Nothobranchius furzeri: one gene and its partners. The protein of the gene in region 1 purifies or fractionates together with the protein of each later gene. This does not show direct contact. Links are inferred from orthologs where the notes say so. Each region holds a gene or a part of one and is shown on either strand. Other genes may lie near its edges. The genes, in order: sox2, sqstm1, ssb, supt16h, dnajb6b, ilf2 and cop1.

Region 1 (4,328 bases):
CAACTTCATCTATTTCAAAGATGCTTTAATCTGCGCATTTAAATGAAATAATTGCAGGTGTGTTGGTCTGTCTTTACTGGTCTGCTGCACTCGCAGATCCGGACGTATGTTTGGTGTTTGGAATAAAAATGATGTGAAATAAATATTTTTGTATTTTGGTTTAGTTTTTTTTATCTACTTTAACTTCTAACAGCGGTGATTTTGTTGTCTGAGAAAACTTTTTTCAGAGTTTGCGTGTAGTTCTGCGTTAGTCCAGTAGGCGGCACTGGTGTCACGCAGCACTGCGCCAAAGCCGCGAGGTGGACAGTCAGAATAGAAACAAGTGGCACCAAGCGCTGCAGACTCCAGAAGTTTGCTCGTGTTGGACTGTTGAGCTTTCTGAGAGTGTGTTGCCTTTGTGGAGAATCTCATGTCGCATTAATCTGAGTTTGATCAGAACTGAAGCAGGTAGAGGCCGCTGCTTTTCTGACTCCCTCACGCGCTTGGTTGTGTTTTCACATGAATCTAGAAACACTCATGTCCTTTTATTAGCCCTCCCTTTTAGACAACGGGTCTAAGCCGCCTGCAAGCCCCCAGCAGCAGCAGCAGCATCAGTGGAGTGGAGTTGGGGCTTTGTCCGGACAGATGTAGCGACAACATCCCAAACAAAACGCGCTTATTTGTGCTGATGAGATGAGCCCGTCTGCCTTGTGTGTGTTGGCATTCAACTTCCCAAAACAAAAGCTTTAGGTGGGGAGGCAGACATCTTGGATTACCTTTCCTCCTTTCAACACCCAAAACCAGCCCCCCCCCCCCCCCCCCACACACACACACACAGGGCTTTTGAGTTAACTAACAACGTTTACTTAAGTCTTGTTGTGCTGTTGGGCCCGATTGTGTGTGTGTGTGTGTGTGTGTGTGTGGAGGGGGGGGGGTGTTAGTAACTTTTTTGATTATTCTCTAACACTGACACAAGGTCATGCCTTCAGTCAGAAAAAAAAACAGTTTCCGGTTTGAATAACGTCACCAGTTGATTATTGTATTTCTTATTAAAAGATATTTCCGCCTATTTGCCTTCATTTCACCACCTAAACATTAGATTATTATGTCTGGATTAAAACTTTCTAACTCAGCCACAGCTGAATATAAGATAATTGTCATTTTTTTTGGGTCGTTTTATTAATTTTGAGGAATTCTTTCATCATTTGCACGTGCTACCTGTTCAAGAAAAAAAACTTTTTATTTATTTATAAACGTCCTATCAAGTTCGGCGTCACAGTTTTACTCTTCATAAATAAAAACACTCGCAAATGAGCTTCTATACGGACAGCAATGAGAAACAATAATGCTCATAGTACATGTGTACTCTGTGTTTGGCTCATAGGGCAGCCTGAGAGTGAGAGTATGCCCGTAAGCTCCGGAGCAGACAGGCCCCGCCTCTTTATGCTAATTAGGGCCTCCCATTGGTGTGTCAGTGGGGAAGGCCTGCTCTGATTGGCCAGGTCGAAGCCATTTATTCGATGACAGCCATGACATGGTTGTCTATTAACTTGTTCAAAAACTATCAGGAGTTGTCAAGGCTCAGGCGGGCAGAGGCGCAAAAGTACAGTTTGTTGATGCTTTTTGGAGGAAGCGAGAGAAGTTTTGTGGACACGACATAGCAGGGACCTATTGGGAGAAGGCTCTCTGTCCACACACACTCTCTCACACACACACACACACGCACACTCGGGGGACGGAAGAGAGAAGGGAGAGTGTGTGGAGACGCGGCTTGATGCTTGTTTTTGTCCAGAGAAAAGTTGCAGAGCAACCCGACAGGTAACTTTCAGCCGCTGCGCTCCTCGCTGCCTCCGGCTCCTGGAGTTTCTGTTTCTTTTTCTTTCTTCCTCTTTTTTTTTCGTCCTCCATTCGTCGGCTTGGAAGCACCGACTCAAAGCTGTTCCTGATGTATAACATGATGGAGACTGAACTGAAGCCCCCAGCTCCCCAGACCAACACGGGGGGCACGGGAAACACCAACACCACGGGGAACGGCACCAACCAGAAAAACAGTCCGGAGCGGGTCAAGAGACCCATGAACGCGTTCATGGTGTGGTCCCGGGGCCAGAGGAGGAAGATGGCGCAAGAAAACCCCAAAATGCACAACTCCGAAATCAGCAAGCGGCTGGGAGCAGAGTGGAAGCTCCTGTCGGAGAGCGAGAAAAGACCTTTCATCGATGAAGCCAAGAGGCTGAGGGCCCTGCACATGAAGGAGCATCCGGATTACAAATACCGGCCCCGGCGGAAAACCAAGACCCTCATGAAGAAGGACAAGTACACCTTGCCCGGCGGGCTGCTGGCTCCTGGAGGAAACGGGATGGGCACTGGAGTCGGTGTCGGGGTGGGGGCCGGACTGGGCGGTGGAGTGAACCAGCGCATGGACAGTTACGCAGCGCACATGAACGGCTGGACCAACGGTGGCTACGGCATGATGCAGGACCAGCTGAGCTACCAGCACCCGGGTCTGAACGCGCACAACCCGAGCCAGATGCAGTCCATGCACCGCTACGACATGAGCGCCCTGCAGTACAACTCCATGACCAGCTCCCAGACCTACATGAACGGCTCCCCCACCTACTCCATGTCCTACTCCCAGCAAACCACGCCGGGGATGACCACCCTGGGCTCCATGGGGCCCTCCTCGGTGGTCAAGTCCGAGTCCAGCAGCTCCAGTCCGCCCGTTGTCACCTCCTCGTCCCACCGGGCCGCTCCTGGCTGCCAAAGCGGGGACCTGAGGGACATGATCAGCATGTACCTGCCCGGGGCCGAGGTCAGTGACCAGAGCGCCCAGACCAGGCTACACATGTCCGGCCACTACCAGAGCGCCGTGCCCGGGACGACGATCAACGGCACGCTGCCGTTAACACACATGTGAGAGAGAGACAGACAGACAGAGAGAGAGAGAGTGAGACAGAGCAAAAGAACTTTTATAAGAGAAACTGCGGACTATAGACGCTGGACTATTTTTGTACAGAAAAATTTGGGGTGGGAAAAGTTGTATAGAAGTTTCCAGGAAAAAAGGACTCCACTGTTTCTTTTAAAATTAATTTTATTTTTTATTTTATTCTGAAGATGCTCTAGAGGAACGATAGGAGACCCCCCCCCCCCCTCTAAAATGGTGGATGGAGTTTGGAAATCTAGAAAGTGGGAGTCGCAATCAGATGTTTTATTATTGCAATCACCTTTTGTACAGTATTTATCAAAGAAACATTACAATCAGAGGGAATTGCTAAACTGCAAGAGGTTGCATCTTTCTTTTCGTTTTTTATATAAAGCGGCGCCAGTTCTGCAGAAAAGATGAATGAATAAAAACTGCAGAATTGGAATTTTTATCAGTTAGAATTACTGCAAACACTGGAATGAAAAGGGACATAAGAAGCAGGTAAAACTGTTATTCTTTTCAGTTTTTTCTCCATTTAAGGTCAACGTTACTAAACTTTTCTTTTATTTCTTTGAGAAACAAACGTGAGACAATTTTTTCTGTCATGCAACTTAAATTTTTAGCTAGTTAATTTATATTTCCGTCTCCCACTTTTCATCATTTAGCGGACATGACGCTTGTGCTCTTTATTTTTTTTATTGATTTGTACAATTTCTGTATATTTACTGTGACATTTGAAGTTTTTATTTCAAAGCTCATTCCCGTAGTTGTATTTTGAAACTCGTGGCCTGTACGCAGAAGCCACGCACTCCATGTAAATACCCCCAGACTAATACCATCCTTATAACAGTTACAGTTTCAGCTGAGTATATTTTTTTTCAATATGCGGTTTGAAATGAATAAATTTTGGAAATTTGGATACTTGAAATAGTTTGAGTTTTGATTCAGTTTCTGTCACGTTGAATAATTCGTGTGTTGAGTGTTTTTTTTTCATCCCGTCTTTTTATTTGGCATCTTTCGGGTGATTTCTGCCTTTTGAGAACAACAGCAGCTTTCTGGGGGGACGCTCCTCCTTTATTCCCAGCCTGTGCGTCGAGGTTAACCACGTTTCTTTCTTCCAGTTCCCGCTGGTCCTCAAAGACAAAGTTTGTTGCCTGGAGAGGTTTTTCCAGCAAAAATTCCCAACATTCCCAGGTACAGACTGTCATTTCTCTTCTTTGATATAAAAAGAGGAAAACGTTGAGGCAAACATTTCATCTTAATACGTTTAAAAATGCTAATAATTGGTATGTGGGGGGCCTTTTTTGGACTGGGGCACTATTTTTATTTAGTGACACAACTGAGCAGGATTTTCATTTTTAAATAATTTTCCCAGTATTTCCGTGTTGTTTCACTGCTTGTTTGTGTTTTGCTCCTATAAATCCCAGTT
Region 2 (4,290 bases), on another chromosome or scaffold:
TATTAATGTTTTTTTCTCTCTTTTATTCAGCACATACATACCTGCTGTAGGTGGAGAATAGGCCAAAATAAGCATTGCTTCTGCCTATTCCTTTTTTGGTTGTAATTCATGACGTTATCGTGATGTATCTTAGTTGTTTGAAGATCTTCTCTGTAAACATGACAACCAAAATAAAGGATCGATCAATCAATAGCCTGGTGCTGCCCAGGATAGAGAATTGCTTTGGATTGATCCAATCAGCTGGTTTCTATTATAGAAGCAACTTTGACTGATTGGAGATGTAAAACCTTATGGACCTGATTCTGGTGCAAGGTGTTAACTGGTTTAAATAAATATTTGTCTCAATGTCTGTAATTCATTCAGTTACCTGGTTTAAAAGTGGATTCATTTGGCTATTAATCAGTCTCACTGGAAGAACCTCACTCTAGCTCCAGGATGCTGAGAGCACTGATGCATTCTGGGATTGTTTAACTTTGTTTTAAGAACAAAAAGAAATCCAAGCATGCATGTTTATCATTGGACCAAAGCAATAAAAACAAATGATTACAATTAAATAATTGAAATTAAATGTTAAATTAATTTTACCTTAAGGTTGTTGAAACCTGATTATGTAATCAGAGCTCTTTATACAATGTAGTCAGAAAATATTTAGCTAATTCTTCCATTAAAAATCTTTGATTCTATAAATTGTTTTTAGTCAAGCTGACAAAACTGAATAACAGTTTCAAATGCAGTGACTTTCACTACATTGACCTTTAAAGGCTTTAAATGAGAGGTTTGGGTGGTTTTCAGCTTCATCTTGTGATTCTGAGTCAGCAAGTCATATGACTCATGCTGCTGCTGATTGGCTGCAGCGGCTGGGTGACATCACAGATGCAAACAAACATTTGATCAAAACAGAAGCTCATGAGACATTTGAAAAGAGTGATGCAAGGATGACTCAGGTGTTTGAGGAATACTGAGAGTTTGACTTATGTTTTACATTTCATATCCCATCTAATTGTTTACAACTGGACAGCAGAAAATCAGCTTGAATCTGGACTGATTAGAGCAGGATTTGCAGATTGCTTTCGTTTTAGCTGTAGATTAATTCTGTAAAAGTGTGTATGGGTTCTTGACTCTGTTGTAGTAATTACGGACTGGGGTTATCTTCAGCAGATAATTAACAGAAAAAGCATGTCGGGGTTGAAACCAAAGCTCAGTTAAAACACACACAAACATGCATGTTTATGTTTCTCTGCTGGATTTCTAGACCTGCAGTTGCGTTCTCAGCTGGATCCACTCATTTAGGATTTTCATATTTTTTTATTAATAAACTACAAATCAATCACTTTTCTAACAAATAAAACAATGTGCCACGTCACAATGACTAAGCGGCTTTCCCAACTAACACCTGCTCACGTGACTAGTTGGAAAGTCCCTCACCGTGCTGTGTAAAAAGATGTTTCTAGACGGCAATGGTCCCTCATTAGCGGAGCTCAATGAGGACCAATGGGAGGCTGTGTGCGTCTTTACGTCATCTTAAGACGATGACATAGAATGCGGAAGTAAACATAAAAGAGGCTGAAATTTACCGCTGCGTCACAAAGTTCTAGAGTTTGGTTCTCCGTTTGGTTGTTTTTCTGTCTCTGTTCGGAGTTTGGTTCGATTGAGTTCGTAATGTCGGTGACGGTGAAAGCCTACTTGCTGGGAAAGGACGAGCAGGTGAAGGAGATCCGCAGGTTTGCGGTGGACCAGGACGTCTCTTGCAGCTTCGAGTACCTGAGCAGGAAGGTGGCGGCAGCTTTCTCCAACCTGAGCAACTTCAACCTATTCTACAAGGGTGAGGCGCTTATATCAGAGCTGGTTCTGTTTCAACCCAAACACTGACTGGATTTCTGCTGCGTGTCTTTCTGGTTCTGGATTGTTTTTAATATTCTGATGAATGATGTTTGGTGCCACCTGATCTGTGCTTGGACTTGATGTTTGAGTTATGGTGTTTTAGATGAAGATGGAGACCTGGTGGCCTTCTCCTCTGATGATGAGCTGATGATGGGACTGGGTTTTGTCAAGGACGCCACCTTTCGCCTCTTCATTAAAGGTAAACAAGTCGTCTTCCTGTTATTTCTTTGTAAGGTTCCATCTGACTAAAGTTTTGTTGAACTCTTGCAGAAAAGAAGGAGCACCGCCGGGACTTCCCTCTTCATGCATTCCCCCCTTTCGCTTTCGGGCTCCCTCATCAACATGGACCTCCTCATGCCCCACCTCCTCACCCGGGCCCGCCCCCTGCCGTCCATCCCAACGTCACCTGTGACGGCTGTGAGGGCCCTGTGGTCGGAACGCGCTTCAAGTGTTCAGTGTGTCCAGACTACGACCTTTGCTCCACCTGCCAGGCTCGAGGGACCCACACTGAGCACCCTCTGCTGCCCGTGTGGCACCCTCTACAGGTGAGTAACCTGGATGACAGGTGTCAGAGCTCAGGTCACCACTGGCAGGTGTCAGAACAAGTCACATTTCCTGATTAAAATGTGATAAATCGGTGGTTTTCTTAAAATTTTATTTAGCAGTGGTTTCCTCGAGGAAAATGGATGAAAAAGATGAAACACTGCACGTGGAACCAGCACATGGCCCAGGCACAGACCCAAAACCAGGACCAGAACCAGAAGCAGGAGCAAACCATTCCCTCCAGCTCAGCATCTGACTGCAGCACCTCCTCTGGTAGGTGATGTGAACAGATCTGTGTTTATGTACAAACTGGTCATCAGTCAAAAGGAGTCCAACTCAGAGCCATTGTCCAATAACAGAGACTGACCTCTGACCTCTGTAGCTTCTCAGGTCAGCGTGAACTATTTGAAGAACATTGGCGAGGGCGTGGCTGCCATGCTGAGCCCACTAGGTGAGTTGTTTTACCTGGAGATGTTTTTAATGTGCAATAAACAAGAGGGAACTCATCCTAATACGCACACGAGTGTCATTCAGACATTTAAAGTCATTTTAAAGTGCTGTTCTGTCAATTTAGATTCCAAACTACTGTTTCTAGGAATAGGAAGTCCTCTGACCAGAGCATTACTTTTGGCTAGCTGGATCTGTGACATTAGAAGCTAATTTCCAGGATTAGCCAGAAGAAAAACCTCAATGTCCTGCTTTTCCTAATTGGCTGCTCCACTTGGGCAGAGTGAAAACCCAATGGCACACAGGCAGTAGCAGTAGCATAGTATTTCAAACGTTATTAGAATAAAACAAACAGCATAAACTAAAGAAACAATCTCATGTAAAATTGTAGGGCTTTAAAAACTGCTAATATAGCGTGCTAACGCGTCACTATGGGTTGTTTTTAAACACCAGAAACGATGTATTATTTCATTACCAAGCTGACTAGTTAGCCTCTGTTCAGAGGAGCACTTTGTTTCACCTTCGGTGATGTCACCTGCAGGCAGTGTCTGTACTGTAGATATATGACCTATTGACCATCCCTTCAGAAAGATCAGAATATCACATTTAACCGTTTCTATTAAACTTCCTGACAACAGAATCCTGATGAAGTAGGGACTTTATCTGTGCATGTGCAGGTATTGATGTGGACATCGACGTGGAGCATGAGGGGCAAAGGATGAAGGTGACTTCACCTACTCAAGGTGAGGAAGAGCAGGGTGAAGTGCAGATGGATGTGGGAGCTGGCGAAAGTGGAGCCAGCAATGAAGGTGGAGCAAAGCAGGGGCCAAAGGTCAGTCTTCCTCAGACAAAAACTAATAGATCAGTCTAATTAATGACAATTACTGACCAAATACACAAATCTGCAGGTGGGCCGAGATGAAGATGATGAGTGGACTCATCTCAGCTCTAAAGAGGTTGATCCATCTACAGGTGAGCTTCAGTCGCTGGAGGGCCAGGGCTCAGGCCCAAGTCCAAGTCCAGGTCCAGGTCCAGCTCCTCTGTCAGGGACCGAGGAGGGACCCACAGGTCTGCGGGAGGCAGCTCTTTATCCACACCTGCCTCAAGGTGAGTTCAGATTCTGCGGTTCAAGTTTTTTTTTTTTTTTGGTAGTCCTGTCCCTATTAAGCCCCTCCCCTTTGTCCCCCACAGAGGCTGACCCCCGCCTGGTGGAGTCGCTGGCGTCAATGCTCTCGATGGGTTTTACAGATGAAGGCGGCTGGTTGACTCGGCTCCTTCAGGCTAAAAACTTCGAGATTGGAGCTGCACTCGATGCCATCCAGTACGCCAAGCAGTCCCACCCACGCCAGTGACATCATTTGACTACTTTCTGTTTTTAGTCTGACAATTACCTGTCCACACCTAATAACTAATCACTTT
Region 3 (4,128 bases), on another chromosome or scaffold:
CAAGCTGTATTTGGTTGGTGGACAGACGACCGTTGCGGATTGCTACGACACAGAAAGAGACGAATGGAGACCCATTTCAGTGATGAAAGAGAGGAGGATGGAGTGTGGGGCTGCAGTGATAAATGGCTGTATTTATGTAACAGGGGGTTACTCCTACTCAAAAGGGACCTATCTGCAGAGCATTGAGAAATATGACCCAGAGCTAGACTCATGGGAGATTGTGGGGACTCTTCCCAGCCCGGTCAGATCACATGGATGTGTCTGTGTTCGTGGGGTCCAGTGACATTTATCACAGGTGTTTATATATATATATATATATATATATATATATATATATATATATATATATATATATATATATATATATATATATATATATATATATATATATATATATATATATATATATGTATATATTGTATATATATGTATGTATATATATATATAATTTCACAGTATTCACTACTTTGCAAAGGTTTATGCACAAACCATGTCAAGTTTTCATTGTGGAAGTTTTTTGTAACAACATGGTTATCCAGTGTTTCACTTAATCCTCAGGTATCTCTTGAGAAGTATGAAATAAAGCACAACTGTTTCATAAATCTTTTAAAAGCATTTTTATTTGAAAAGTCACTGGTCAGTAACACATAAAATAAATCACAACACTGATAATGGGATGTTTGCTTTCCAAAAAATACTTTTAAAGTCACTTGTATTTCTATAACTCTTCAAATGTATTGATATGTGAGTATTTGGGATCTTAAATTTTTCTAATAAGTTTGTAAAAATAAGTTTATGTGAATGAACTTCCAGCAACAAAGCATTTACAGCTGCTTTACAAGAAGATGCACAAGATGGTTTGTGAGTGTAAAAATAGTAATCATTGCAGCTTTTGTTTTGAACTACAAGAATATTTTAGAGGGGAGTAATATAAAAAGCTGGTTGTTTCTACAAAACAATTTGTGAGACAAAAACATCTTAATAGAAAACATAAATCTCTGTGATCAAGTGAAGATTTATTTTCTTGCTTGAAAACGAACATAAGTTTAAATTTTTGAATAAAATAAAATAAAATAAAATAAAATAAAATAAAAAGTGAAGAAAATCTACATTTGTGTTGGAATGTTGCATTGCAGCGACAGCTGCTGGGCACAAGCTGCACGACACAGATTGCGACGCACGAATCGAACTGCCGTAAAACTGCGACCTCCTCGACACTTTTTGGCCCTCGATGGTTTCCGTAGCACGCAGTCCTACAACGTGCCAGCACGAAAGGCAAGCTTTTGCGGTTTCAAGTTCCGAAAGTGCAGTTTGATCACAACTGTGATAACGTAAGTAAAACATTTGAGTTAGTACAATGTTTTATGGCGTTTTTCATTTAACTTGGAATACGTTGTTGTAGATTAACAGTACGTTTGAGCAGCACGCTACTGTTTGAACGCAACCACATGACGACGTTAACATTACAGACCCAATGTGTGTCCCCAAAATGTGCATTACGGTGACAAAACACGTTTTGTTTGTTTATTACAATACGGGTCATGATTCTGGGTGGTTCTGCTTCTAAATTAATATATAAACCGTAGCCGGTTTGCAACTCCTGAGACAAGCTAGCAGGTTTAGCTGACGCATGGTAACTGAAATGTAACTAGATGTGAGACAGCTGCGTGACACAAATTAATAAATTAGATTTATATTAGCTTCCAGGAGTTTTCTTAAAACGAATATTATCTGTACATTTATGGTAATTTGTAAATTCCGTTAGATTCATTGTAGAAATAGGTAGGCAGTGGCTTTTATTCACTGTTTCTGAATCAGGAATAGTTTATATAAACATGTATTAAGCCCTAGGGGACCCCATGATGTTAGTTCCTTAACAGGGCCAAAAACCCCTCGCACTACAGAAGAAATAGTAATAATTGCCATCAAATTAATCAGCAAACCCAGCACTACATGGCTATCTAAACTATTTTTACCATTAAATACCATTTTTACCATTTTTCGAAGAATAGTCTTCAAAATAGACCTAGGCCTTAAGGGGTTAATGTATCGCAGAGGCAACAGTCTACACCATTTAGTTTTTAAACATTTAAATGTCTAATGAAACAATTGAGAGGCTTGCATGCCAGATATATGATTATACAAACCATACCAGTTTATGTGATGAAAACAATGAGTGGTTATAAATAAAACATGGATTTTTTAAATAGGTCAAATTGCAATTCATCTAAATTTGTCTCCCAGTATTTCAAATTAATAAATTTAATGATCAGCGTTCGTACCATGGTACCTCTGAAAACTGGGACACATGCCCACATGTAAGAAATTTATTTTTAGAGTTTGCTAATTATTTGCAATTTCATTTCCTACAGAAAACAATCATGGCAGAAAACCAAGATCAAATGACCCCCATTGAGATGAAAGTGGCACGCCAACTGGAGGTAATTGCTATCAAACTTCTGTCATCGGCTCTCTGCTGGATCTGTAATCTTCACTTAACATCTGTGAAGCGTAGTTTGCCATTACAGTCAGTGGGTGTGTTTCAGCTGGCTGTGAAGCTTTTGGACATGTTGGACAGAAGTGTATTTTCGCGTCACTCTGCCATTTGCTGCTTTCCACCAGATGTGTAAGCAGCACATAATGTAATAGACACGTTTTCCTCGCGAGCTCAGCAGCTTGTCTCTGACCACTGGAAGTGTTTCAGATTTTTTATTTTATGCGTTCCAAGCTGCCCGTCTTGCAAGGTCACAAAATTGCCACAGAATTGCAAGATCAAGCATGATTTCGGCAGTTCATGTGACAAGCAGAGAGACAGCAGCATGTGTACTAAAGGGCCTCGTTTATTTTCTTTGTGTTGTACCTCAGCTATGGAGACTTTATATGTAATATGCATTTATTTATTTACTTATTTATTTACTTACTTTCTTACTTACTTACTAGTTAAGCAACTGCAAATCTGCACATGTTCTATTTTGAAAGTTGACGGATGTTTAAGTTTACATTTGACTTCCTGTCCGTTACAATCTGAACTGCTGGGCTTGGTGCGTCCTGGAAGTGTAGTGCATGAGAAAAAAAAACTCAATGTAAAGTTAGTGGAGCGATGTGATACTACGCTTCTTGGACACTTCCAAAACGCACCGCTTAGCATCAGGTGGGAACACACCCGATTAGGGTTGGGCGACGGGACGAATTAATTGACCGTCAGCGACGGGCTGAGTCGTTACGATTGTTTTTTTTTTTTTTACAAGAGGCGATATGTTCATTTATTTATTTGCCCATGATGACGTTTGTTAATGACAGATATTTTACACGTTACACACAGAGAACACCGCGGAGGTAACAATCATGACGAGATGTCCATCAGCGCATCTGAGCATCATCTCTCTCTTTCTCCGCCTCTTTAACTGCTGACGCGGAAGAGGAGCTCGGAGAGCGTCTGCGACACACTTGACAATGTGAACAAGAGAGCAATGTCAAGTAGAAACCCTTCTATCTTTCTCAGAGAGTCTGGAAGACTTCTGGTTATTTCATTTGGAGACATTTTTCCCGATTTTAAAACTTTGGGCGAGTGGCACTCGTTATTCTGCCCCTGCTTCGAGTGTGTTAGTGGAGTGCAGATTCATCCAGAACAACGTTTAAACATCCATAAGTCTGAGGCAAAAGCCCAGAACCTCATAACCTCTCCAGCGAATTCCGTAGAGACATTTGAGTACGCACAAGCTGCAGGTGACCAGCTCAGGTTTACGCAGAGCAGAGGAAGAGTGCGTTCAGGCTGCAGCAGATGAATTGTTCCTAATTTAAGTGGAATTGTTAAATTGCATTGTTTATGTTACTGGGACACTTTGTTCAGCTTGTTTGAACTAAATATTAATTAAAATGAATGGAAATGTAATGGTACTGAATAATTATTATTATTTAAAATAAACAAAAGCAATGGGGATAAATGGATCATGTGACTTCTGGCTGTGCTCCCTCCTCAGAGTGTGTCAAAATGCAGCAGCAATCCATTTCATTTCATTTTCTCAAAGCCAGAAAAATAAAAATCAGTGTTTAGACGACTTCTGTGTTTGCAAATCAGTCCGTGCATCATGACGTCACATGCATGAATGAATCGTCCAGCCCTAACGC
Region 4 (3,685 bases), on another chromosome or scaffold:
TGTGACCATCTTAGGATCTTCTCTGACTAAGCCTGTGAATGTCTTTGTACTCTATCAGCTACTTGGGAAGGTGAGTCCGTGTTTTCCTAAAATAAGCTGACTCAGAAAAGGAAAAGATGAGATGAGAAAAAGTTCATCTGAATTTGAGTTTCTGTCTCATTTTGGTTGTTTTTATTTCATTTTCTCATCTGAATCTGGCCGTGAGGTTTTCTGCATGTGTGTTGTGCCCATCATCCCAAACGCCGCCCTCACGCGTTTCTGTTAAAACGCTGTTTTTAAACAAACTCAGAACGAGATGACGGCGGAGGAGAAGAGGCGGGCTCACCAGAAGGAGTTGGCCAATAACCTGAACGAGGAGGCCAAGCGACGTCTGACGGAGCAGAAAGGGGAGCAGCACACCCAGAAGTGAGAGCGGAGCCTCGCCCTGCGCTGCTTAGCGCTCGGATATCTAGTTACGCCTCTGCTCGTTCTTCCAGGGCCAGAAAATCCAACGTGTCTTACAAGAACGTCTCTCAGATGCCCAGAGAGAAAGAAATCAGGGAAATGAAGATTTACATCGACAAGAAGTACGAGACGGTCGTCATGCCTGTTTTTGGGATCGCAACGCCGTTCCACATCGCCACCATCAAGGTCTGATCAGGGTTTGCACCTAAAGCTAACCGATTAGTGTTTGTTTAATATAAACGCATCATTGTCGTTGTGTTTCACGTAGAACATCAGTATGTCTGTAGAAGGAGACTACACCTACCTGAGGATCAACTTCTTCGTCCCCGGCAGCTCTCTGGGACGACAGGAAGGAAACATCTTCCCCAACCCGGACGCTACCTTTGTCAAAGAAATGTGAGACTTGTTTCACTCCTGTCTGTCGAGCTGAGTGGTGTGTCCTAAACCCTTTTCAGATGGACGTTCTGGAATATGTGCGGACAATTGAGTCCGGTTTTTAACCAGAACTGTGTTTTCAGACACACCGCTTTTGTACCCGAACTTGTCCTTTCGGCTGCCTTCACACAGCAGGGAAACGTTCCAGATGTCGGGGGGGGGGGGGGGCTGTACCCGGATATTGCGTAAACATGGTGCGGCGGGCGTACATGCATCATTTACCCAAACAAAGCCATTCAGTCAAACATGGCCGACGAAGAGATAGAATTCCTCTCACTGATCGGACTTATGTTAAGCATAACTCTGCGCACACACATAAGAGACCTGGATGATGAAGCTCAATGGTTAAAGGAATCACTGAAGCGGTGTGAAGCGCTCCGTCGCGCGTCTAGATGGTACCGTAGGAGGCGAGCTGCCGTGGTTCGCCGCATGCTACAGGAGCGGGCTATCTAGGTGCACACAGCGTCCCCCGGTCCCCTCCTCCTCCTCCTCCTCCTCCCTGTCCGGAGCTCGACCTCACCAGTCTGAAGCAGTCACCCTGTCCGTGACGAGTCTGGACCTGTTACTAGGGGTGTCTGGCGGTTTAATTACAGAAAACATTATCAGGTGTTTGTATTTGGACACAAAGGTCTTACGGACAGAGTCCGGAACATTTCCGTTTTTCATGGCCTGTCTGAAGGGGGCTCTAGATTCTAGTACGCACCTTAAGGTTAGAGATGCATAAAAACCAGTTACCGTGGGCGATCTATTTCCTCTGGTGGCGTTTGGACTGACACGCCACAGACTGAAGTGGTTCCTAATCGGTCTGTGGAGGCTGACCAGAGTTCTTCATGTGAGATTTAGTTCATTTCCAAACTTTATTGGCCTTTCAATGTCACTCGCCAGTATTCTGCACCACAACTGGTTGAAGCCACACTGGTGTTGCGTTAACAGGATATTTTCACTATTTGACCCCCTTGTTTTTTCTTTTAAACAGTGACAGAATAATCTGAAGGCTGCCTGTCATTTTGACAGATTGCAATTACCCCCCCCACACACACACACACACACTCATGCAGGCGTGCAGTTATTTTAAACGTTACAGAAAACGTCGCAGAGGTAACAAAATCAATCTGGATGTTCCCATCAGAGCATCTGAGCGCTAGCTTCCAGTTGGACACCATTCGTAACGCATCTCGCTGTTGATGGCGTGCTGATGAGCTGTGGGTAGGATGTCTGAGCATGGATTCATCCTCCAGAACATTTAAACATCCATGATTCTGAGGCTGAGGTCCAGAACCTCATGGCTACAGCCTCTTCAGCAAGCTGCTTGGAGACCAGTTCAGGCTTACGCAGAGCAGAAGGAAGGAGTCGGAAGGAGTTCAGACCACAGCGGGAGGCGCGTCCCTAAATCCTGTAAAGTTAATATGTTGCTGGGGCTCTCTGGTCAACGTGGACTAAATATTAATTAGACATGAATCAAAACTAAGTTTTTATTATTTTATAAATAAAAGTGACGGGGGAAAATCGATCATGACCATCTAATCTGCCAATAGCAGATGATTTTTCCCCAGTGGAGAGGCTAACCTTTATTCCAGAGGATCAGGTAAGATGTTCAAAGGTCTGAAGCATGAATGAGGACGCCAGTGAAGGCTCTGATGAGGACTTTGTAAGATCCAGATGCATCTGAAGGAAACGTTAAAGGGTTTCAGCCGTAAATGGTGTTGGATTGTAGACAGAGAACTTGTGGACTATTTTATCAGAGGACATTAATCGAACACTTGTTGACATAAAGCCTTTTTTTTTTTGTTTCAGAGGGGTCGGCTCTGTCTGACATGTTTAGTTATTTCACATTTTTGAGCAGGTTGAGTGGCCTTTACTGTGTCTACAGTTGTCCTTTTAGTCATGAGAATCCAGATTTTTAAACACGTATAATGTGCATAAGTGCAAAACGCCTCTTGATTTTTATCTTGAGAAGCGCTATATAAAATATGTTTCTTCTACAGAGTGTTGTAAAAGACACTGATTTTGCCTGGAAGTAGCGAAATTTCCCATAAAAGAAATCGTTTTTAATAAAAGCATCGCTGAAGGGCTGGACTCGTCATCGATGGTCATTAAGTTAGTCCAATCACCCAACCTTAACACGAGTCGTAGATCAAGACTAGACCTCCATTCCTCACTAGGATTAAATCTTATGGCAGTTTTCACACAAACCAACAGCTGAAATAGTTCAAACACACTCTGTTTATTCATATAGCACCAAATCACAGCAAGAATCGTCTCAAGGCGCTTCGCAAATTCAACATTCTAATTCAGTTCAGTTCATTAACTCATTTATTACCAATGACGACAAAAGTCTTCTTTTTAAGTCCAACTGTTCGCCGTCGTTGACAACTATACTATATGCATTATTTTACTGTGTGGGCGTCGGAACGAGCCCCCGCACCGTGAGAACAAACATCCCAGCTCTAAAGCTGGTCTTCATCATCCGCGTACGTCACACGTCACGTGATCAGGAAGCAGAAAATCCATGCGTTAGGAGATCGTTTTGGGCCGCTGCTGTAAAAAAAGTGAGGAGCGAACTGAAAAAACTGGAACTGGTAAAGCGTCTGCCATGAAAGGACAGATAATGCTAAAAACAGGTGGATTCTTCCTGATGTAAAAAAAAAAAAAGAACTCTATCATCATCATCATCATAGAGCACAATGTTCTGTTGACTCTTTAAAAAAACAGTAAAAACACTCAAACACTGGCAGCGAGAGGCTTTTCTGACCAGGAAATGGCCAGCAGTTAATTAGTTAAGCTAATCAGTAACAAGTTTCCTATA
Region 5 (3,685 bases), on another chromosome or scaffold:
TAAACACAGACATTTGTATGATTCAGCTCTCAAGGATCACCGTGATCAACATGTTGTTAATAATTCTTGGAGAGAAATAGCTCGCACTGTCGGAAAAGACGAGGACGCTGTTAAAAATGCTGGAATGCCATGTTGTAAACAGTAATTTCTACTTCTACTATGGTGTAGTGTTGGATGCATGCCGTAGAGCTTCATGCTGCCCCCTACAGTTTGGGAGAATATTGGCTCACCGCAGAGACGAGCCGCATGAACCATAAACGCTGCAAGTTGTGAAGAGCGTTCCATCCGCGAGCCGCATCACCAAGCGGAAAGTAAATGTGTCAAGCATAAACCAAGCCTTCGACCCACTCCCATATATTTTAGACCTGATTTTTATAGTTATGTTACGAAGCCGCCAATATTTTTCAACAGCTGGGCATCATTTCATTCATTTTCAACAACATTTTGATGAATATTTCCAGAAATAAATCGTTAAAAACTACACACCGTTAATAAATTAATCTTAGAAAAATTAACCCTTAAACTTTTCCTCAATAAAATCTATAAGGATAACCTCCATTTTCTTATTAGCACAAATTAGGAAACATGCAAACAGAATATCTGGAGTGCTGATGGGTTTAAAAATATACATGCAGGTAGAGTTTTACCATCTGAAAGGACTTCATAGGCCTCCGACAGCTCTTTGAACTTTTTCTCTGCTTCCTCCTTGCTGTCTGGGTTCTTATCTGGATGCCACTTCAGAGCTAATTTTCTGTAACTGAGGAACAAAAAAAAATGCTTTGAACACAAATAGAATTGAATAAGTTAAATACTATAAATATGTCCTAAAAGAATGTTTAGAGATGATGGGATGAAATGATGAACCTAAATTCTTTACTAGAGGTCAGAATGAAGTTAATACAAAACCAATCTCTAATCTTACATTGTTATAAATCTAAAGGTAAACTTTACTCATATTTAATACATTTGCAGTGGTCTCTAGTAGGCATTAATGCCTTGTAAGTCGTGCTCTGTGGAAAAACGCTCATATGCTCCTGTTTGAGGATGTACAAGTCAGCCAGAGAAGAAAAAGGCAGCAGTTTCCTGATATTTGGACATATCGTCTCTGATTGGTTGATAGCAGCACAACTCTGCCACTAACTGTTTGCATCGCAACACTGATGTTTTATGTCCACAAATAACACAAGCCTGAAGGAGTTCTGCTGTGAGGTGGAATTGCTAATGGTTAGCTTCTACTAGCCAAGATGCTTTCCTGTTGCAAGACAAGATGGGTGAGTCCATGAATGTTAAGTGACGGTGTGACGTAGATCTGTCAGGATTTTTAAATCCTAGAGTTTCATCGTCTGTTTTCTATCAGAACTAAAGCAGGAGATGGGTGTAGGAGACTTTTCATGTTCAGCCTGCATGATAAACTCAGTGACTGATTACAATCAGAAACAATCATTAACCTTTACCAACAAAACTGACTTTGATAAAGAATCTGTGAGTCAGAACTAATTATATTTATGAGCACCTCTGTTAAAAGGACATTTGCTGTTCTGTAACAAGCGGTGGTAAAACTTTGCCAAGATGACAAACAGCAGCAATCTGAGGAAACGACTGTCTAGGCTGTTATCAGCAGATCTACGGCACCATAACCGAAAAAGAAACCAATCAAGGAGAGCCAAAGTCCACACCTCAACCTGACGGGAATGATGAGTGGGAAAGGTTTCCCAACTGTGACGTCTTCATTTTTATGCCAGGTAACTGTGGTTCTGATTAAACAGTTTCTATACTTATTCTTTTTTTATTATGTGAGAGGATTTGCGTTTTTAATCACGTGGATTCAAGTGTAACAGACAACCTCTTGTCAGAAACAGATCCACGCGCAGGTCTTTTATTAGAGTAGCAGCCATGACAACACTAAGCACACACAGACACAAATCTGCACAGACAGTCCTCTCCACCCAAGCAGATTTAACAAAGACAGCCTGAACTGCACCGGTGAGCAGCGTGGGCCTTGCACAGCGGCTTACGCTGCATCAGCTGTTTGTGTCAGAGCCCAGCAGCAGCAGCAGGAGCTGCAGACAAGAGACTAAAACTCAGCCAGCAAAAAGAAAAAAGCTTCGGATAGTCCTGGGATCTGCTCCCTATAGTCTACTCAACAGCTCTGCTGTAATCTGTGATATTATCTTGCTGTGCAAAGCCCGTTTTACAGGTCAAATAGCCAAACAAGTTGAACAATGACAGCTGGTGATGATGGTTGTGTAACACACCAGTTTTTGGGTCTCATCAGAGAAGTCCTTGTTCAGCCTGAATATCGTCAAGGATAGCATAACAACCTGACATCTGGGCTGTAACTCAATACCCATTAAATTTAATAAACTAATAAAACAAACACGTTTTCAGGAATCTCAGCTATTTTAAACAACGCTGAACCGATTACAGATGCTGGTTCTGATCGATCTTTTATTCTTGTACAGTTCTGATCTCCAAACAACAATTTAGCTCAAAGAACTTTAATTATGTGACGTAAGAAAATACTGATACACTGAAATACATATTTAAAAGTAGAGCATTAATATTTCATTGAGAATTTACATATGAACATTTATTAGAATTTGTTTTGTGTGGTGCAGTTCAAACTCCAACAGGTAGGTGGCAGAACATTTTACCGCCTTCATTCTGACGGAACAATCAGATCTCACGATAACACTGATGAGTCTTGGAAGCGCCTAACCTGAGTTTTCCAATTAGATTCAATCTTAATTGAAAGTATCTAGACTTTAGTATTGCGATATATTTTATCATTTCCCCTATAATGTGATAAATACTGCATCACCAGATTCTTGCCAACGCACACCCTGACAGAAAACGTTTTTAAAACTCTGATTAACTTGAAAGGTTTGATCCAGGAGAGCAAAAACATTCCACATGTTATTACAAGTAATGGTGAGTTCATGTGTTAGAAAAAGTTTACCTTTTATTGCCGTTTGGCAGTGATGCACTCAGAGAAGAACTATAAATAAATCAGACCTTTGAGTTTCAGATTGGCTCATCACCAATAAATTATTATATAGAGCTATTCTGAGTCTTCATTTATATTCCTTTTGCTGTAAGAGCTCTGTGACACTAACCCCAACGGCACACTGTAGGCATCAGCGGCGTGGAATGGCAGCGGAACAGTTTACTCGCGACTATCGCTGCACTCCAGTGTACATCGCAAGAGTCTCAGCCGTGAGCTTCTCCGCTGTGCTCCTTGCTCGACTCGCAAGAACACAAAATTCCTCGAGTTTATGCCGTCCGTCATTAAACCAAAAAGAAGGAAATCACGTTTGATATTGTTATTTGCGGTCATGTTTGATATTGTTGTTCTTCCGGCTCTTGTAGAGTTCAGACGCTTTTTTTCAACCTCTCCTCCCCATCTCATCCCAAGGCTCTTTGTCTGTCTTTGGGTGTAAGGCGCTTCTGCAGTTTTTCTGAAAACTGGAAATTATTGAACATGGATCTGGTCAGTTGGTCTCTCAAAGCGATTGCAAAATTTTTTCAACGATGAGAACGGGAGAAGGGGCTCCCGGTTGCCCCTCTGGGACAGAGCCAGCTGGGCATATCATGGACTCCTGGAAACAGTGGAACCTGATCTGCCTCTCTCAACTGTCTGTAGAGGATTCTGAAGACGTCTAGATATTCATGGTGTTGGCGTCAG
Region 6 (4,256 bases), on another chromosome or scaffold:
AAGCTTTCAGATTTTTGTCTAGCAGATCAAATCTTTCTGGAAAGGCCAGCAGGGCTTCATAGATGTTTTCATTGCATATCTGTTTGCCAGTAGCTTTATTTTTCAGGTTTTTTTTTTTGATTGGGGCTTTTTATTGGAGTGTGATCACCAGTGGGTCTTGCTGCTATCTGTTGATGCTCCATCTCCTCAATGTCTTCGTCCGCACATGCTTCCTTCATTGCCGCAAGGTTGTAGTCATGGTCGGAAAGACTACCTATTAGCGCCGCCATGTTAGTCATTTGATTTTTTGTGTTTGCTACTTTATCTGTCCAATAACTCTTCAAAAACATGTTCCACAGGTACCGATTTCCTTTCAATTTCGTTCTGAATAACTGTTTATCAGAGAATTACTTCTCAGAACATTTAAAACCCACCGTTTTATCAGACCTGCCAAGTTTCCAGCACCTGCTCACTCTGCCATCTTGAATTCCCCCTCATGCACCACTAAACAACAGTGCTAGAGGAGAGCAGCTGTCCGAAGTAAGATGGCTGCCGCGTACGGACGTCAGGGTCCATTGACGAACAGCGCAGGTGAGAATCAGTGCATCTTTTGTATGACAGAATGTGAAACTATTGAGCACCTTTTTCTTCTCGTGTTCAGTAACACTTGGTTTTGAGGAGGATGTTTATCGATTGGTAAATATTGAGAGAAATGATGTAATCTAAAGTACTGATATACATGGATGCTCTTCCAAAAAAGATATCCAAAATGGTGAACATTACCAAATACATAAGACTAAATGGAAAAACAGCAAGCCTAACATTAATCATTTTAAAAATTAAATAAAACAATTTACAACATCTCAAAGAGTATTTTCAGAAAATAACCAATCTATAACTGAGTTGTGCGAAACAATGTCTGAGTTTCTTGTTCTTTAAATTACAGTCCAATGAATCAAACATGTTTGAACTATAATGCTGAAATATCAACCTCTGAACGTTTTTTGTTTGTTGTTGATGTTATTTTATTTTTTGTTTTAATTATTATTATTTTGCATCATAATTTATTTTATGGTAGTGCCATGCGGTAAATGTTGCAAGTTCTAAATGTCATTTTTATTTTCCTCAAGTGCGGTCATTTGTATTTGTTATATTCTTCAGTACGTTGAATGTAGGTTACATTGTAAACTGAATGTATGTGAAAACGAAGATTGAAATAAAGTTAAAAAAGAGACTTGACCAGAAAGACGTGAATGAATAAAGTTACGCTATGGCAGCAGCAAAAAAATATACCAATAAATAAAAAAAACAGCGCATCTAGCTATAATATGTGATATCTATGCGGTCCACACTCCATTCCAGTTGGGGGCGGTAATGTACCACGGCGTTGGTGACGTAAAACAGAAAGAAAGAAACAATTCCGCCGGAAACAGAAGTCTCTTTGTGCCACACTAGTCCCTTCCGCAGTTAGCCTCCGCTCATTCATTAAACCATATCAAACCGTTCTCCCTGTTTTCTCTCATCAAACCATCAAAACGTCGTACGCAATGAGGTAACGCTGACTAACCGGACCTGGTTGTGTTGGCTTTACGCTAACTAGCCTGTAATCAGTGTCATTAGCTGTTAGCCATTAGCTCGGTATAGCTTTCTGTTAAAGTCTCGTTCTGAACGTGGTGTTACTTATTTATTCCTCCAATAACAGTGTTACTGATAACTCTTACGTTTTATCGACAGCAAGTTAACACTGAGGTAGCGAATTAGGACTATAACACACGTGTGTTAGCTAAGATCAGCGTTTTTATTTATCCTTTAGTCTGGCAGTAGCGAGCGCACTGGACTGATCTGGGTTTTGTGTTTGTGAACAGAGGAGACCGCGGCAGGGGCCGAGGACTCCGCTTCGGAGCCCGGGGAGGCATGGTCCAGGGGTGAGTACCTTACTGATCTCTGTTCCTGTTCCATACTGGTTCTTTCAGTCAGGTCCTTGATCTGGTTGTAGAAAGTATCTGACAGTTAGTCTTAAGTTTGCTGGTTCGATTCCTGCTTCTGGATGGAACTCGGACCCATAAGCCATCAGAGTAGAAAAGTCTAAGTGAGAAAGATCTTCAGAAGTGGAAAAAGAAGCCTCTTGTGATTACACAGGACGACGGCACTCTCCCCAGAACATCTCCAGAAGGACTTCTTCAGAGCAGTTAGATCTTTCCATCCTGTCTGAAAGCAGCGTCCTGTTTCTGTCTCTTTAAACTTCATTTTTTCCCAAATGAAACAATCCATTGATTTCTGGATCCTTAAAAAGCTGCTGTAAAGTCTGGAATCATCAGCTCATGTTGTGCGTGGTCCTGGTGATGAAGCTAAGACGGATTGTTGGTTATTGTGCTGAAGCAAAAAGAACCGCTGCCTTGGTTATAACTGAAACCTCCAAATCATTGTTAAAATCTACTTTTTGGGTTTGAACATCAGCTTTCATAAGGTCCCGGTCAGACGTTCTGGTTCTGACTAGTAGGGACATTTGTGCCAGTCCACCGATTCTCCGTTCTTCTCTCTGTCCCGCTCAGGTACCGTCCTTTTGTCCCGCACATCCCATTTGACTTCTATGTGGTGAGTTCACGCATGTGACAGACAACAGAACAGCATGCAGGAATAATCAGTAACCATGGCTACAACTAGCATCTGGTAGAATCCGGTCCATTTTGTGGTTCTGAAGCAGACTGTTGTCCTTCCCCAGTGTGAGATGGCCTTCCCCAGAGTGAAACCTGCTCCTGATGAGACGGCGTTTAGCGAGTGTCTGCTGAAGAGGAACCAGGACCTGAGCCCCTCACCTGCAGAACAGGTCAGCTAGGTATTCCAGTTCAACACCTCACTGGTCTCATCGTGCTGTAGGTTACTTACCTGACGTCTTCATTTCCTTCTGCTTCTAGTCTTCCATCTTGTCTTTGGTCACAAAGATCAATAATGTCATCGACAACCTGATTGTTGCCCCTGGTAGCTTTGAAGTGGTGAGTGGTGAACATCTGACCTGTAGAGCTGCCATGTTTACTGAAACTGGTGTAAATGAGTTGGTGTCAGTAAGGCTGTAATGATCTGTGTTTGCTGTCACGTCCTAATCTGGGATTAAATGTTTCTCTTCCGTCATGACCTTCCTAGACCTCCCACAGGCTGAGCTTTATGTAGCTGAGCGGTTTTATCTTTTAGAACGCATCAAAGCCATCCCGCATGCTTACGTTATCTGTCCACAGCAAATAGAAGAAGTTCGTCAGGTGGGTTCATACAAGAAGGGAACCATGACAACTGGACACAACGTCGCTGACCTCGTTGTCATCCTCAAGATCCTCCCTACACGTGAGTCATTGTTCATTCAGACCAGCCCTGGGTCCGTCACTAGGGCCTCATCCTGCTGGAACAGCTTCAACAGATGTTCTGGTGAAACCACTGAGCACATCTGGACTCGTGTTGGTAAATACATGGCTAGTCCCATCATGCAGCCCGACCGGACCGGCTATCCAGCAGCTAAGCTGTTTAGCTTTAGCCTCTTTAAGCTTAACAGTGATGACGAAACTCGTCAGACCGTACAGGAACTCGAGAACAGAAGTGTCTGAATCCTAAATGTGTTTATGAGGCAACTTGGTGTCATTTAAACCCCGAATACCGTCGGTAGAGTGGTGATTAATACTGAGTCCAGTGTTAAACACCTGGAGCTAAAGCTGACTCTGCTCTTCATGTTTAATCTAACAGTGGAGGCAGTGGCTGCGCTCGGGAACAAGGTGGTGGAGACTCTTCGCACCCAGGACCCCGCAGAAGGTACGGGGGTGGGTCTGTGTGTGTGTGTGGGGGGGTGTATCTGCAGCTCTGGACCTTACCTAAAGGCTGAAGTTGGTCAGAGTGCCCTCAAGAAACAGAGTGAGCATCTTTAGTGAGTTAATGATGTAATAAACACTAATGGTGTGTGTGTGTGTGTGTGTGTGTGTGTGTGTGTGTGTGTGTGTGTGTGTGTGTGTGTGTGTGTGTGTGTGTGTGTGTGCACCCGCGCTTTCAGTTCTCTCCATGCTGACCAATGAGACGGGCTTTGAGATCAGCTCAGCTGATGCAACCGTTAAGATCCTCATCACCACTGTCCCGCCCAACCTACGCAAGCTGGATCCAGAGCTGCACCGTATGATACACACACACACACCCACACATGCATACACACACACACACACATGCACACACACAGACACTCGTTTTTTAAGGACTTCTCCGTTTTAAACGGTTCTTTCCACTGAACCTTTGATCTCTAATCT
Region 7 (3,685 bases), on another chromosome or scaffold:
ATCTGGCTGTAACTAACTTTTATATCGTTGATGACAGCTGATACAACGTTCAAAGAACGGTTCGGAGCAAAAAGGGCTAGTTTGTTCCATGTTGTCGTTCTTTTTTAAAACACAGAAACGGTTTTGTTACGTTATTGACGTTACAGTTTTGCCGACGGCTGCCGGCTTCTTCAGGCTTCAAAATCAACCGGCTTCTTCAGGCTGACGCTGATGGACGCTGTCAGCGCCAGCCTGAAGAAGCCGGCAGCCGTCGGCGAAACTGTAGCGTCAATAACATGTAACAAAACCGTTTCTGTGTTTTAAAATAGAACGACGACATGGAATTAGAAATAACGCACAGCAAGAACACACCTAAGATGTTCAAAGGGCTAGTTTGTTGCTAATTTGCAGGAATTATCTAGAAGAAAGTTGCTAAGGGTCCTCAGAAATGTAGCTAGCTTTGTCACGAGGCGTTAGGAACAGCGACAAAGTCGCTGAGTTGGCACTACCTCTCTCTCTGCTGCTAAAGCTACTGATAGCATCAGTGTCTGGTTTGATGGTGTCACTTTTGTGAAGCGTATTTGCAGTCCTGGACTTATTTTCACACAAAACCTAAAATAAAATGTACCCCCGTTCAAAAATAAGCACGTAATTGGTATAAAAAAACGCGTCTTTAAAATTCACGGACACCATATGTGAAATCCATGGAACATAGCAAGCGGGATGAGAAAATAGGTTTTTAGCCCCGCTGACTTGCATCTTCATCGTCGTTCTTCTGGGGACCCATGGTCTGGAAGCAGATGGGCGTGACTTAGGTTCCTTATTAATGAACATTTGACTGCATTAAAATTACAGTTAATAATTTCTGATATTCACCGTTTTCAAAATAAATCCCAGTAAAAACGGCTGAAAGTAAACCTAAGTGACTTACGCAGAAACAATCTCCTCTCCGTTTACAAACTTGGCGTAGGACACGGCCTTCCTGTGGCCTTTGAACACCATGATTGGCTGCTTAGTGTTGCGAAGATCGTAGTAGTGGACGCAGTGATCTAGAAGCAGGACGAGTTAAAAATAAACAATCTGGGGCTTTTATTCTTGTAACACAGTAAAGTTATGATGCAATGTCTTTGCTGCTTTGTGCTGAAGTTAGCGTTTCCAATAAGAAATGTTCCTTCTTTCCAAACTGTTTTCAAACTGAAGTTTTTCTTCCTTGAGCGACCACTCCAGGGTCAGGAGGCGGCTTTCTGCCAGTGGACCTCAGACACACACGCTGAAGTGTCAACGAGCCTGGACAACTCTCAGCAACAGAGTTCTGCTCCGCTTGTTTTAAGCTGTTATCCAGTGTTAGTGATGGGAAATACTTTCCTTTGCATACCTGAATATTTATTACAATTCTTATTCTCCTGTGGGGTACTAATGAACAGAGTTTTCAGAAGTTTGTCTGGACCACCAGAGTCAGCATAACCACAGATGAAATTTAGTATCTTCAAGGGGAAATAACAGTGGTGGGAGGTGAGTACCACAATAATAATACATCAAAATGAGAGAGAAACAAGTTTAAAGTTTGCCAACATTACACAAACACATTATTCAAGAAGGAAAACTTTTGTTAGAATCAGTTTGGAGTGTTTGAACAAAACCAGTCCTCCGTCTTACCCGCACAGCCGAAGGCCAGATGATATCTGGAAGTTGGGCTGAATTTAACACAGCAGACGTTAGCTTTAGCCTCGATGCTAGCCACTGAGTTGTTCAGGTTGGTTGACCACAGTTTAACTAAAGAAAAAAAAACAGGTAAACAATATAAACACTTTAGATAAAAAAGCAGCGGAGCCCCATGCTAAATTTATACATTGTTGATGTTTTTTAAGTTTTTCTGAGGGATGCTGTGAACCGATCACACGATTTAAACAGGGTTGGAATCAGGTGGAAAAGATCAGATTTACCCGTATAAAACAAAAAACACGACTCTTTAAATTCACTCCGAGATAGAAATTTCTTAACTGGCTGGTGAAAAAGTCTGTCGTTTGGTGGTATTTTAAACCAGACAGCTGGAAAAGCAAATCACCTGCCTCCATTAAGTCTGATTAACGCCGAGGACACACCGGCCGCCGAAGCGCCGCGAAAAGGGGACCGCCTTCATTCGGCGCCCTTGTTATCCTATTCTGTAGACCACATGGGCTGCCGAAGCGCCGGCGCTCCAGCCCACGCCGTGCAGCGATCGTTTTGGCGCCTGCTCTATTTTTTTTGCGAGCCGCGGGTGAACCGCGTCAATTTTGGCAGGAAGTCAAACCTAGACATGAGGCAGGCCGGTAAATTTAACAAAATAAAGCATTTCAAAATACAATTCCGTGATCGTCAACTGTGTTCGTAAACAGACACTGCATAAAAACCACACAAACACACACACACAGCGAACTTGTGTGTGTGTGACCACGTGAAGGGGGTGTGGTTTTGGGTGTCTTTCAACCGGAGCAAACAGGACAGAGAGGCAGAAAGACGTAGGCCAGCTATTAACAACCGGTTCACACCATAGGTTCTCACACACACACGTACAAACACACATACAAACAGCAGGGGGGAGGGGGGTGTAGAGGAAAAGTGCAGAGAAAAGGCAGAGAGGAAATGGAGGACACCAAGTGGTTAAAAGAAAAACTACGAGGCGCGCCTCGACCGGAGTGGAGAAACAAGCGTCTGGTCTGAACCGAGGCCAAATTTTGTGAGCGCTTCGCCTCCTGGCGCTTCGGCGGCTGGTGTGTCCCCGGCCTTACACTTCTCTGTCTGTGCTGAGTCACGCAACGCCATTATGCGTCGCTGCAAGGGCTCTTCAACAGGCTCACAGAGGGTGTTGGACACATGCCCAAATTTTTATATATCCGTCAAAAGTGACGGAGACCACAAGCTTGTGATTGGCCAGGATGCCACTTCCTTTAAATTTGTCAACGGCCCCGCCACTGCCCCCTCAAAAAGTATAAAATATATACTTAGCTGCAGACACAGAACAGATCAAAGAACGCATCGCGGAAAAAGTCCGAAAATATGAGCGTTTATTGACTCGTGACTGAAGGGGTACAATAACAGTACATGTGCAAATCTCCTTTTCATTTAGAACTCTGGTGGTCGAGAACCCCAGATAAATCATATGAAATCCTCTTTTACCTTTAGCATCATCAGAACCCGAGGCTAGGAGCTTGGGGTCCATCAGGTTGAAGTCAACACTCCAACATCTTTTCTCATGCTCCTAAAAATATGGAAGTCAAACTTCAGAAAACCGTCACAGCAAAAATATTCATAGTTATAATAAGCAGAAAAAAACCCAACATCATGTAAAAAGCTGTGCATGAGTCACACCTGGTACACTTTGGACCGCTGCCCACTGAATCCATCCCACAGAATGACGGTCCCTTCATAGTCGCTGCTGGCCAGAAGGTTCTTGTGATAACTGCTCCAGCTGATACAGCTGCAATGGAAGATGAAGTATCATTTTGATATGGAAACTCAGCAGATCCTCAATTTGAGATAATAAAATGTCATTTGATGAATCACTGCCTAAAGTGTAGGGTACTGATCTGATTAAAAGCTAAAACTCAGTTCCTCTTGAATTCGTTTATTTTTTACCTGATTTTGGAATTGCACGTCATTTCATTGACAGGGTAGTGGATGTCTACAGCATCCTGGATCACCGTTCCATACTCAAACACCTTGATCT

What was found.
Region 2: the proteins of sox2 (region 1) and sqstm1 purify together in Homo sapiens (affinity purification with western blotting; 3 studies listed by BioGRID, with this or other methods). This does not show direct contact. The link is inferred for Nothobranchius furzeri from reciprocal best matches to the Homo sapiens genes SOX2 and SQSTM1.
Region 3: the proteins of sox2 (region 1) and ssb purify together in Homo sapiens (affinity purification with mass spectrometry; 3 studies listed by BioGRID and IntAct, with this or other methods). This does not show direct contact. The link is inferred for Nothobranchius furzeri from reciprocal best matches to the Homo sapiens genes SOX2 and SSB.
Region 4: the proteins of sox2 (region 1) and supt16h purify together in Homo sapiens (affinity purification with mass spectrometry; 3 studies listed by BioGRID and IntAct, with this or other methods). This does not show direct contact. The link is inferred for Nothobranchius furzeri from reciprocal best matches to the Homo sapiens genes SOX2 and SUPT16H.
Region 5: the proteins of sox2 (region 1) and dnajb6b purify together in Homo sapiens (affinity purification with mass spectrometry; 3 studies listed by BioGRID and IntAct, with this or other methods). This does not show direct contact. The link is inferred for Nothobranchius furzeri from reciprocal best matches to the Homo sapiens genes SOX2 and DNAJB6.
Region 6: the proteins of sox2 (region 1) and ilf2 purify together in Homo sapiens (affinity purification with mass spectrometry; 3 studies listed by BioGRID and IntAct, with this or other methods). This does not show direct contact. The link is inferred for Nothobranchius furzeri from reciprocal best matches to the Homo sapiens genes SOX2 and ILF2.
Region 7: the proteins of sox2 (region 1) and cop1 purify together in Homo sapiens (affinity purification with western blotting; 3 studies listed by BioGRID). This does not show direct contact. The link is inferred for Nothobranchius furzeri from reciprocal best matches to the Homo sapiens genes SOX2 and COP1.

Annotation. Positions count from the first base shown.
Region 1 is NC_091748.1:72,770,821-72,775,148, reverse strand, and holds sox2 (transcription factor Sox-2), read left to right. Parts: upstream 1-1,436; 5' UTR 1,437-1,924; coding exon 1,925-2,893; 3' UTR 2,894-3,816; downstream 3,817-4,328. UniProt on the Homo sapiens protein: Transcription factor that forms a trimeric complex with OCT4 on DNA and controls the expression of a number of genes involved in embryonic development such as YES1, FGF4, UTF1 and ZFP206. Binds to the proximal enhancer region of NANOG.
Region 2 is NC_091741.1:64,353,306-64,357,595, forward strand, and holds the start of sqstm1 (sequestosome-1), read left to right. Parts: upstream 1-1,428; 5' UTR 1,429-1,659; coding exon 1,660-1,822; intron 1,823-1,984; coding exon 1,985-2,080; intron 2,081-2,151; coding exon 2,152-2,426; intron 2,427-2,543; coding exon 2,544-2,697; intron 2,698-2,806; coding exon 2,807-2,875; intron 2,876-3,548; coding exon 3,549-3,703; intron 3,704-3,779; coding exon 3,780-3,978; intron 3,979-4,062; coding exon 4,063-4,223; 3' UTR 4,224-4,290. UniProt on the Homo sapiens protein: Molecular adapter required for selective macroautophagy (aggrephagy) by acting as a bridge between polyubiquitinated proteins and autophagosomes.
Region 3 is NC_091754.1:20,313,051-20,317,178, forward strand, and holds the start of ssb (lupus La protein), read left to right. Parts: upstream 1-1,213; 5' UTR 1,214-1,331; intron 1,332-2,372; 5' UTR 2,373-2,381; coding exon 2,382-2,441; intron 2,442-4,128. Other genes in the region: klhl23 (kelch-like protein 23), read left to right, coding at 1-283. UniProt on the Homo sapiens protein: Binds to the 3' poly(U) terminus of nascent RNA polymerase III transcripts, protecting them from exonuclease digestion and facilitating their folding and maturation.
Region 4 is NC_091742.1:80,398,770-80,402,454, forward strand, and holds part of supt16h (FACT complex subunit SPT16), read left to right. Parts: intron 1-289; coding exon 290-405; intron 406-476; coding exon 477-630; intron 631-712; coding exon 713-840; intron 841-3,685. UniProt on the Homo sapiens protein: Component of the FACT complex, a general chromatin factor that acts to reorganize nucleosomes. The FACT complex is involved in multiple processes that require DNA as a template such as mRNA elongation, DNA replication and DNA repair.
Region 5 is NC_091747.1:47,502,083-47,505,767, forward strand, and holds part of dnajb6b (dnaJ homolog subfamily B member 6b), read right to left. Parts: intron 758-3,685; coding exon 648-757; intron 1-647. UniProt on the Homo sapiens protein: Has a stimulatory effect on the ATPase activity of HSP70 in a dose-dependent and time-dependent manner and hence acts as a co-chaperone of HSP70. Plays an indispensable role in the organization of KRT8/KRT18 filaments.
Region 6 is NC_091751.1:23,258,217-23,262,472, reverse strand, and holds the start of ilf2 (interleukin enhancer-binding factor 2 homolog), read left to right. Parts: upstream 1-1,373; 5' UTR 1,374-1,526; coding exon 1,527-1,531; intron 1,532-1,844; coding exon 1,845-1,904; intron 1,905-2,531; coding exon 2,532-2,574; intron 2,575-2,701; coding exon 2,702-2,806; intron 2,807-2,894; coding exon 2,895-2,972; intron 2,973-3,212; coding exon 3,213-3,315; intron 3,316-3,708; coding exon 3,709-3,774; intron 3,775-4,009; coding exon 4,010-4,126; intron 4,127-4,256. UniProt on the Homo sapiens protein: Chromatin-interacting protein that forms a stable heterodimer with interleukin enhancer-binding factor 3/ILF3 and plays a role in several biological processes including transcription, innate immunity or cell growth.
Region 7 is NC_091751.1:60,919,441-60,923,125, reverse strand, and holds part of cop1 (E3 ubiquitin-protein ligase COP1), read right to left. Parts: coding exon 3,595-3,685; intron 3,437-3,594; coding exon 3,328-3,436; intron 3,218-3,327; coding exon 3,136-3,217; intron 1,753-3,135; coding exon 1,636-1,752; intron 1,029-1,635; coding exon 911-1,028; intron 1-910. UniProt on the Homo sapiens protein: E3 ubiquitin-protein ligase that mediates ubiquitination and subsequent proteasomal degradation of target proteins.